Ovis aries: one gene and its partner. The protein of the gene in region 2 interacts with the protein of the main gene of each other region in a pairwise test. Links are inferred from orthologs where the notes say so. Each region holds a gene or a part of one and is shown on either strand. Other genes may lie near its edges.

Region 1 (4,476 bases), on a different chromosome or scaffold from region 2:
CAGAGCTGATTCAGGTCAGGCCTCCTGCAGGCCACAGGCCAGAAGCGTAAAAAGGGAAGGGGTTATTTAAATCAGGTAATTTGGAGGGGAAGACTCTGGCTAAATCAAGTCTCTCCCCCTGCATTTTCCCCGCCAAAGGCTGCCATTTAGATCACTTACTGTGACTCCCTGGTAGAAATGGTAGTTATTCTAATATTACTGGAGAAATTGTTGGCAAAAAGTAAATCCTTTGTGCACACTGTTGAAGGGCAGCCTGAGGATGCCGTTACTTCCCTCCCCACCACCAACACACACGCCACCTTTGGCCATGAAGACTACACCTGTGGTCCATGTCTACCGAAGAACAGAGTTTGCTCCAAGAGTCACCGCAACAAACTTTCTATAAGCTCAGTGTACTAAAAGTCAGCCTTCCGTAAGTGGAAGGGACATTCCCTCACGCCTAATTTAAATCCCATCACAGTGAGATATAATAAAATGCATTAACTATTGTTAGCAATGAGCTCTTCGTGTAACCAGCTAGCTATTGTTCATTTCTACTTAAAAAGAGAGTCTATACAATCGAGTTTGCCAATTACCTGTGGTATGTAGTTCTGAAACCAGCCACACCTTTCTGCTTCAATATAAACTATGATGTGTATAATCCAACTCCAAATAAGCACCATACTTCTCGTATTTCTATTTGCTTCCACCTCTTTCCTTACCAAACTCTTGCTAGAGCCAATAATATGTTTCAATAGGGACTGAATTCACTTCCACATCTTCCCTCTGCTTCTGGAGGTGATGAGGAGACTCAGGAGGCTGAGGCGGATGAAGCAGGACAGATGGTGATCCCGAAAACTCAACAATGGGACAGACTGTTTACCTACTAATAGTAAGGACTGGGATCTGTTTGTGTAAACATCTCCCAAAGCAACATTAGAACATCTTAAAAAATTCCAAAAATAAGAGAAATCAATTGAACTGAAAAAGACACAGCTCAGTTTGGGGAGCTTTGCGAAGAATGAATGACAATGCCAGCCGCAAAATGCAAAGGTTTGGACCAGCTACACCAATTTCTTGTTTCCAAAAAAAAAAAAAAAAAAAGAATATCTTATGCTACTGATGTGAAAACGAGGGCCTTTGGAAAATAAGTGGCAGGCCTTTGGACTTTGAAAAAAAACAATAGACTGGTCTATAGATGTTTAGGAAAACATTTACTCACAAAAAGAAATTCCGAAAGCTACTTAGCATTAAAAAGGGTGAGAGAAACAGAAAAACTCCAAAGGGGGGCAGGAGAGGAAAGGGGTAGATCTTAGGCCAAAGGAAAGCAAAGGAAAACGGTAGGAAATACACACCAGGACAGCAATATGAAATTTATGTCCAACTAATTCAACAGCTATTTCTTAATACAGGATGGATCTGGGTGGCTGCATACCTACCAACTACAGTGTTACATAATAGGGAATAAGCTCTCTTACCAAAAAAATAAATCAGAAACATCCTCCCAAGGACTATATTACAAAGTGATTTTAATCAGTAAGGGGGAAAAATTCGGCCAAAGACCTAAAGGACCCCAGATACAGTCTTCCTTCCCACTAGCAACTTTAAAACACTTTTTCTAAGTCAATTATTTGCTTTTAGTTCACCTACACTGCCTTGCAGGACATTAAAACAAGGTGAAATCTACTCAAAGACAATTCTGTGCAAACATTCTACATTTTCTAAAGTCTGGTTTTCCCAAACTGCACATTTCCCCCACTCCTGACTCAGGCGGACATCCGCGGGCTTGGCTACCCCACGCTCCAAAGTCCAGTAACCGGGCGGGGCGGGGGGGGGGGGGCTGGATCATGATCCCACGAGTCGAGTCTGGTGCACCACCTCCTCTAGTAAACATTCTGCTTACTGGTGTGAACGCTGTGCTTGTAAAGCCAAAAGGGGAGGCGAAAAACAGCATTTCGCCAAGTTCCCACCCCTTCAGCTAGGGTGCAGACTCTCCGGCAGGCCTCACGGGCTAGCTTCAACTCATTACCTCTTCGCCAGGAGGGACGACACCCAGATCATTTACAGGTTTTTAAGTTTCGATTCGGAGCTCCCAGTCCCAGGGCAGCGTCCGGTTCCGGGGCGACAATGGGCCGCTGTGACGCCTGCGGGGCCACGCGCAGCCCGGGTTGAGGGGGGGCGGGCAGCCCGCCCGCCACTTCCCACCCGGCCCCCCGCCGATCGCCCCCTCCGGCCCCCGCCCCGTTACCTGCTCCGCCACGGCTCGGAACAAGCACGACCCGTCCTTGGCGACCAGTTTCCGATACAAGCCCAGGGTCCGCAGATAGGCGTCCATGGGAGTCGCGTCCTCGCGGGGCGCCGCGCCGCCCCGGTCGCCGCCGTCGGGGGCGCCGACGGCAGCCTCCATGTTGCCGGTCGCGCAGCAGGCCCGGCGCGGCGCGGGCTAGCCCCACATGGCCGCGCCGCCGGCTCCTGGACGCCCCGGCCGGGGGCGGGCAGCGGCTGGGGCTCGGGCTCGGGCTCGGGCTCCGGCTCGCGCTGGGCGGGCGGCGGCAGGCGGCGGCGGCGGCCCGAGGCGGCGGTCCGCGCGCATAGGGAGCCCTGCCTAGTGCATGGCCGGGCGCACGCGGCCGCCTCCCGCGGGGCCACGCGCCCGGGGGAAACGAGGCGGGGAATTCACCAAAACCCGCAAGCGAGCAGTCACTTGACGCGGGCCTCGCCGCTCGGCTCAGCCACTGGGGCCCCGGGGTCCCGCCCCCACACACACACAGAAGTTTCCTCGCCAGACCCGGCGGAAGCGAGGAAGCCCCCGCAACCCGAGCGCGCCGGCCCAGACTCTTGGTGAAAGCGAGGCCTGTGGGCCCCACACCGGGAGCCGAAGAAGCCGAGAGAGAAAGGCGCGGCCTGACCGTCTCCCCACCTCGCAGGAGGGCGCCGGAGGGGCGGGGAGTGGGCGGGGGCGCCCGGCGGGAGGGCAGCACCCTCGCAGCCCAGAATGTGTTTTCGCTTTCGGCCCCGACCGCGGAGAGGACGGCGGGAGGTGTAGTTTGGGCAGCGGCAGGAAGTCGGCCTGCGGCGGGCGGGGACGCGCTGCCGGCCTACCCGGCGGGGGGAGGCGCCCGGGAGGCGCGCGGACTACAAGTCCCTACAGCGCGGCCGCCGCCGCCGCCCGGAGCCGGCTTCACGCTTCCCGGGCACCGCGCGTCCTCCAGCAGGCCGAGGGTCTGCGCGGAGACCTGCGCGCGCCGCCCCGCCCGGCCGGCCGCCCGCCCTCTGCGCCGCGGGCCTGCGGGATGTGCGCGCGCTCTGCGTGCGTGGAGTTGCCAGGGACACGGAGGCCGCTGGGTCGGCCCTTTGTGTATTTCCAAACAGAGGGCGCACCTGTCTGCTCCCCTCCCCCCGGCCTCTTCCCCTGACGTTTCCATGGAGGTGGCTTTAACGGCTTAAGCAGAAAATAGACCTAATTGGCGAAGGCTCCTGGAACTCGCATCGTGCGGGGCGATACAGGCTGTCCATAAATCAGCCGTGGACTGCTGATTCCTATTCGAGACTAGAAGTACAGCTCTGGCGGTATATCGCAAGATGATGCCTTTGCCACAAACATTTTGGTTCACCCTGCCACTATAGCTGCCCACCCCAGCACAAAGGGGTGTCGCTAGTCGGAAAAACTTAAGATTTTTTTTTTTTTTTCCTTTTTAGAAAACCATCTTGTAATTAATTGTTGGATAGCGTGCTGGACGTGCCCTGGGATCCAGCGGTGTTTGCTGGAGGATTCCTGTTCAGCTTCCCACCCTGAGAAGTTGAATGAGAGTGTATGCCTTTAGAACCTAGAATTTATCCGGCTTGTTTTTGTGACACCAGAATTTTATTTTTATTCAAGTACAACAGCATCTGGTATCCCAATCTTTTAAATACACGGTTAATCATAAAATCTGCTCTTGAAGCCATGGTGCGGCAGGGTGGGGCTGGGGAGATGGAAGAATTACTGTAGATGTAGACATGTGGTCAAACAGATTCTTTGGAATGGGGGGCAAGGCAGGCCAGATGGTGAGAGTCCAGTGCAAATTACTGAAAATTCTATTTGAGAAATCTGTTTTCAGTATTTGGTGCAAACAATGACTCGTGTGTTCACTCTCCTTGGAACGTTTAGATTTGATTTCTTAAGGTTTAAAAATTCAAATATCCAATGGTGCTGTTTTTAGAGAAAGCAAAAAAAGGATTCTGACCTAAATGAATTTTCTTGTCCCACTATTGAATTTTGTACATTTTGTAGAGAAATACACTGCAGAATCCCTTTTAGAAAAACCTAGTTTCAAGTCAAACCTGTTGCTTTTCCTTCTTTAATATATATATAATTTAAAACATACGATTGCACTCTCATTCCACTCAGAAAGAACTGCCCAGTTTTACCACTACTTACAATATGGCACTTTCTTTTTATAAACAATGACTTGCCTTTTAAACCCACAGAGGAATGGAAAGTAAAAGTGAAAGTGA
Region 2 (4,409 bases):
CCCTCTCCTCACCAGAATCAGGGCCGCGGCGGCCAGCGCCACGCCGAGCACCGCCAGCTGCAGCAAGACCGGAGCCATCCTCCATGCCGGGCCGCCAGCCGCCCTATCCCGCGTTTACACACACGCGGAAATGCGGCCGCGCAGCCCCGCCTCCAGCCCGCAGAGAGGCCATGCCAGCTGGGCGCCCGCCGCCCACAGCGCCACCTCGCGGCCAGACCCGGTCACGCCCGGGGACCCGCGCTGCCCACAGCGCCACCGCGTGACGAGACTATGTTGTGTGCGAGCGGCTCTGTTCAAACGCAGTAGGGTTGTCAAAATCAGCAAGGAGAAATAAACGGATGTCCACTTAAATTGAATTTCAGATAGCAACGGATCGGTTTTCAACAGCACTATTAAAGTATAACACACACTCAAAGTTCGCCCATTTAAGAGCTTTTTGTTATATTAACTTTGAAAAACTGATCAAATTTCCCATTTTAACCAGTTTATGTGTCTACTACAGGGACATTGACTGCACTCACAGCTTCCTGCAACCATCACTACCGCCTCTTGCTAAACCTTTCCCAGTTCTCCCCCAGCTTCTGGTAACAACTAACAACATGAACAATTTTGCGTGTACTCTTTGTTCACCTGACATTCAAATTGAATTGGATGTCCTGCGTTTTATCAGCAACCCTTTCTAGGAAGGAGGTGGAGTGGAGGTTTTGAGCCACGACACAGTCTACAACGAAAGTTGTTTCTTTGGAGCCCACTCTTGGCAGCTGCGTAATGTAACCTGATGTGGATAACCAGCGCACAGAATTTTTAAATTTTCGGTGCTCTAGCAGGAGGCTTTTACCTGGAAGAAGGCAAGCCCAGGGCTCAGCCTAAGGAGGAGGGGGAAAGAACGCGGAAACACTGGAATAATGCTCCACGCTCAACACTTGATTTTTTGCTATACCGTCGGTTTTCTCTGAAACTTTTGAATGGTGGGCTTCCTTGGTGGTTCAGCGATAAAGAATCCGCCTTCAATGCAGAAGACGCAGGAGACATGGGTTCCACTCCTGGTTTGGGAAGATCTTCGCAGTTTAGTATTCTTGCCTGGAGAATTCCAAGGACAGAAGAGGCTGGTGGGTTATAGTCCATCGGGTCGCGAAAAGTCTGATTCTACAGAAGAGACTAAGCACGCACGCTTGAACTATCAAACTGTTTCTAAACAAACACTCATAACTTTCGTAAAAGCCGATTCGCCAAAAACGTCAAGGTCAAGAAAACCTAAAGGGGCGACTGGCTAGGGGTGGTCGAAGCGAAGCCATGCGGGAAACCACCCTCACCTCTTCTACCTCTACTCTGGTCCATACAACCCTGCCTTCTACATATCAGGTAGCAGAATCAGTGTTGAAAGTGCTGAAGCGAAACAGCAGCGCGGGCCGGAGGGGTGGTGATACGCAGGCGCGGGCGCGGGCGCAGGCGCAGATCGGCGGGCGGAAGATGGCGGCTGGGTTCAAGTGAGTGCGGTAGGCTGGCGGGCGCGAGTTCGTAGCCTGGCGGTCGGCGGCTTCCCTACCCTTGGGATTTTCTCATCGGGAGGCCACCCCACCTGGTTCCCATTTGTTTCCACTGCAGAAGGAGACGTTGGGCGGGAGAACTGAAGGTGGTCGTAGTGAAGGGAAAGGGCGCATCTTCTCCCCAGTGATAGGAAGTACTGTGTTGAGCAGGTACCCGCTGCGAGCGCTAGGCTTTGTGTGTAGTGGACTTTGCTGCACAGGAGAGACACTTGTAATCTTGTAGAAAGCGTTGCTTCAAAACCTCAGGGCGCCCTGCTTTCTCTGCCCAGTAGTTTATGTGTAAAAGCATTCTGCCTCGTTAGAAAGGTTTTCCTTAAGCGTTTTCGGTGCTGCTCTCTGGGGAAGGCTATAGCTTTTCGTTCTGAGTCGAGTTTTAAATGGATGCAATAAATAGGATTCCAAAGGAAACCAGTTATATTGAAACGACCATGTATTTGTATAAACTCCGGGTTTTTGACACAGTGAAATATCTGTTTTGAAATTAACTTTCTTAGATAAGGCCTAGTGGGAAGTCTAAAGTAACTCCTGAAATTCGAAGTAACGATACGTCTTACACTTACCATAAAGTCAGGTCGCTCAGTCGTGTCCGACTCTTTGCGGGTCCCATGGACTGTAGCCTGTCAGGCTCCTCCATCCATGGGATTTTCCAGGCAAGAGCGCTGGAGTGGATTGCCATTTCCTTCTCCAGGGGATCTTCCCGACCCAGGAATCGAACCTGGGTCTCCCGCATTGCGGGCATACGCTTTACCGACCTTAGGCAACTATAAAGTAAAAACGAAAACATCTTAATCTGTGGTTGTTAAAGTCGCAGGTACGGCTAATATTATAGTGGTTTATTGCCTATGCTTGTAATCGAAGAATATGCTAAATTTAAGTCGGGGTAGTGAAAATAAATGCGTAATTTTTTTTTTTTTCCTACTAACGAAGTATTCCTGCTTCAAAGTATGAGTGATGCACACCTGGATTCATTCTCTTTTTAAAGAGGCCTAGGGTTTTGGTCTCGATCCTTATACTTGTTTAAAGCAGAATTAAAATCAGTCTTCGAGTGTGATTGTTATTGCAAAAGTAGCTACTTTTTATAATTAGCAACATGTGGCAACATAAACTAGAATTCATAACAGAAACTTAGTTACAAATTTTGGAGATTTCTGCTCCATCACCCCACTATTAAGATTGTTGTGTTTCTGGATTTATATTGATTTATAATTTATCTCATTTTTCTCATGTCTTTCAGAACTGTGGAACCTCTGGAGTATTACAGGAGATTTCTGGTAAGTAAAGGTGATTATGTGATGCCCTTTGATAATGGTATCATATGCTTTTTTCATAAATACAAGTATTAATCATGTTATTCACCTAATGTTCTAAGTATACTTCAGTTTTTAAAAGACAATTTTAAAGTAATACAGATTAATTTATTTGAATTAATGAGGTTCAGTGTGTTTTCCTTGGTCTGTGTAAGATATACATGTAGCTGTAATCTACTTTCATATATTTACTTAGAAAGAGAATTGCCGTCCCGATGGCAGAGAACTTGGTGAATTCAGAACCACAACTGTCAACGTAGGTGAGAGTACTTTGAGTTCTAAAAGAATGTTGAAGTTGCTTCAGTTCTGAAAATAGAATTTTTTTTCTTAATAGCAACTTTTTATTTGTAGAGTTTTTTTTAACTCACTCTCCTCTCATTAGTGGGCTTCCCAAATGTCTTGGTGCATCAAGAATCTACCTGCAATGCAGGAGACAGGTTTGATCCTTGGGTGGGGAAGATCTCCAGGGGAAGGAAATAGCAACCCACTGCAGTATTCTTGCCTGGAAAATCCCATAGACAGAGGAACCTGGCAGGCTACAGTTCATGGGGTCACAAAAGAGTCACATACGACTGAGCAGCTAAGCACATCCTTTCAGTTTTTATGTTCATATTAAATTTTAAAGTAACTCTGAAGTGTTTTCCCCCTTCAAAACTTGTAAGGTTTGGTTTCCTTCTATATCTTACATTATTAAATCTTCTGTTGCCAAACATGGAATTTTCCAATTTTACCCATATGACATTCCCAGGTTTTAGCCTCTGAGCCATTTAAACGGTGTTTTAGACAAATTCTACCAGGTCTAAGGGATTACAGTGATTTTTGTCAAGAAATTTTAATAACAGCCCTGTGATTAAATGACAAATGATTCACTCAAAATCAAGAAAATGAATAATTCCTAAAACAATTCGGTTGACCCTTGAACAGTGAGGGGGTTAGGAGCACTGACCTTCACAGAGTTGAAAATCCAAGTATAATCTTACCGTTATGGATTGGCACTCCGTATCCAAGGTTCAGCATCCTTAGATTCAACCAACTGTGGATCACGTAGTACTGTGGAAGTATGTATTGAAAATAATCTTTGTATAAGTGGACCTGTATAGTTCAAGCCCATGTTGTTTAAGGGTCAACTATAATTTTACCAAGACTCAAGCAAGGAGTAAATTTTCACGGACATCTTAGATATTTAGAGATAAAAATCATACATAAAAGAAGAAAACATTTTCATTTTAAAAAAATACTTTTCAGGTTCGATTGGTACCGCAGATGGTTCTTCTTTAGTGAAGCTTGGAAATACTACAGTAATTTGTGGAATTAAAGCGGTAGGTTTAATATACTTACTACCAAGATTTGAGTTACTAAGTTAGCTTCATATACTTAGTAGATTATAATATACATCTATAATTCTACTGTTGATTGGGCAGTCAGGTGTTTTAGTATTTGTTTTCATTTCCCAAGTTTTAACCTTTGAGTTTTAGATAATACAACCCAAGTTTAATGACTTAATTATAATTTGTGAACATTTGCAAATCTGCTGAAACAATTTTTTAAAAAATCC

What was found.
Region 1: the proteins of EXOSC8 (region 2) and OTUD4 interact in binary tests that used the Homo sapiens proteins (3 or more experiments, as listed by UniProt). The two-hybrid records come from large-scale screens. The link is inferred for Ovis aries from reciprocal best matches to the Homo sapiens genes EXOSC8 and OTUD4.

The regions. Positions count from the first base shown.
Region 1 is NC_056070.1:13,174,839-13,179,314, reverse strand, and holds the start of OTUD4 (OTU domain-containing protein 4), read right to left. Parts: upstream 2,924-4,476; 5' UTR 2,387-2,923; coding exon 2,228-2,386; intron 1-2,227.
Region 2 is NC_056063.1:24,979,772-24,984,180, reverse strand, and holds the start of EXOSC8 (exosome complex component RRP43), read left to right. Parts: upstream 1-1,445; 5' UTR 1,446-1,470; coding exon 1,471-1,487; intron 1,488-2,781; coding exon 2,782-2,818; intron 2,819-3,050; coding exon 3,051-3,114; intron 3,115-4,099; coding exon 4,100-4,173; intron 4,174-4,409. Other genes in the region: ALG5 (dolichyl-phosphate beta-glucosyltransferase), read right to left, coding at 13-78. UniProt on the Homo sapiens protein: Non-catalytic component of the RNA exosome complex which has 3'->5' exoribonuclease activity and participates in a multitude of cellular RNA processing and degradation events.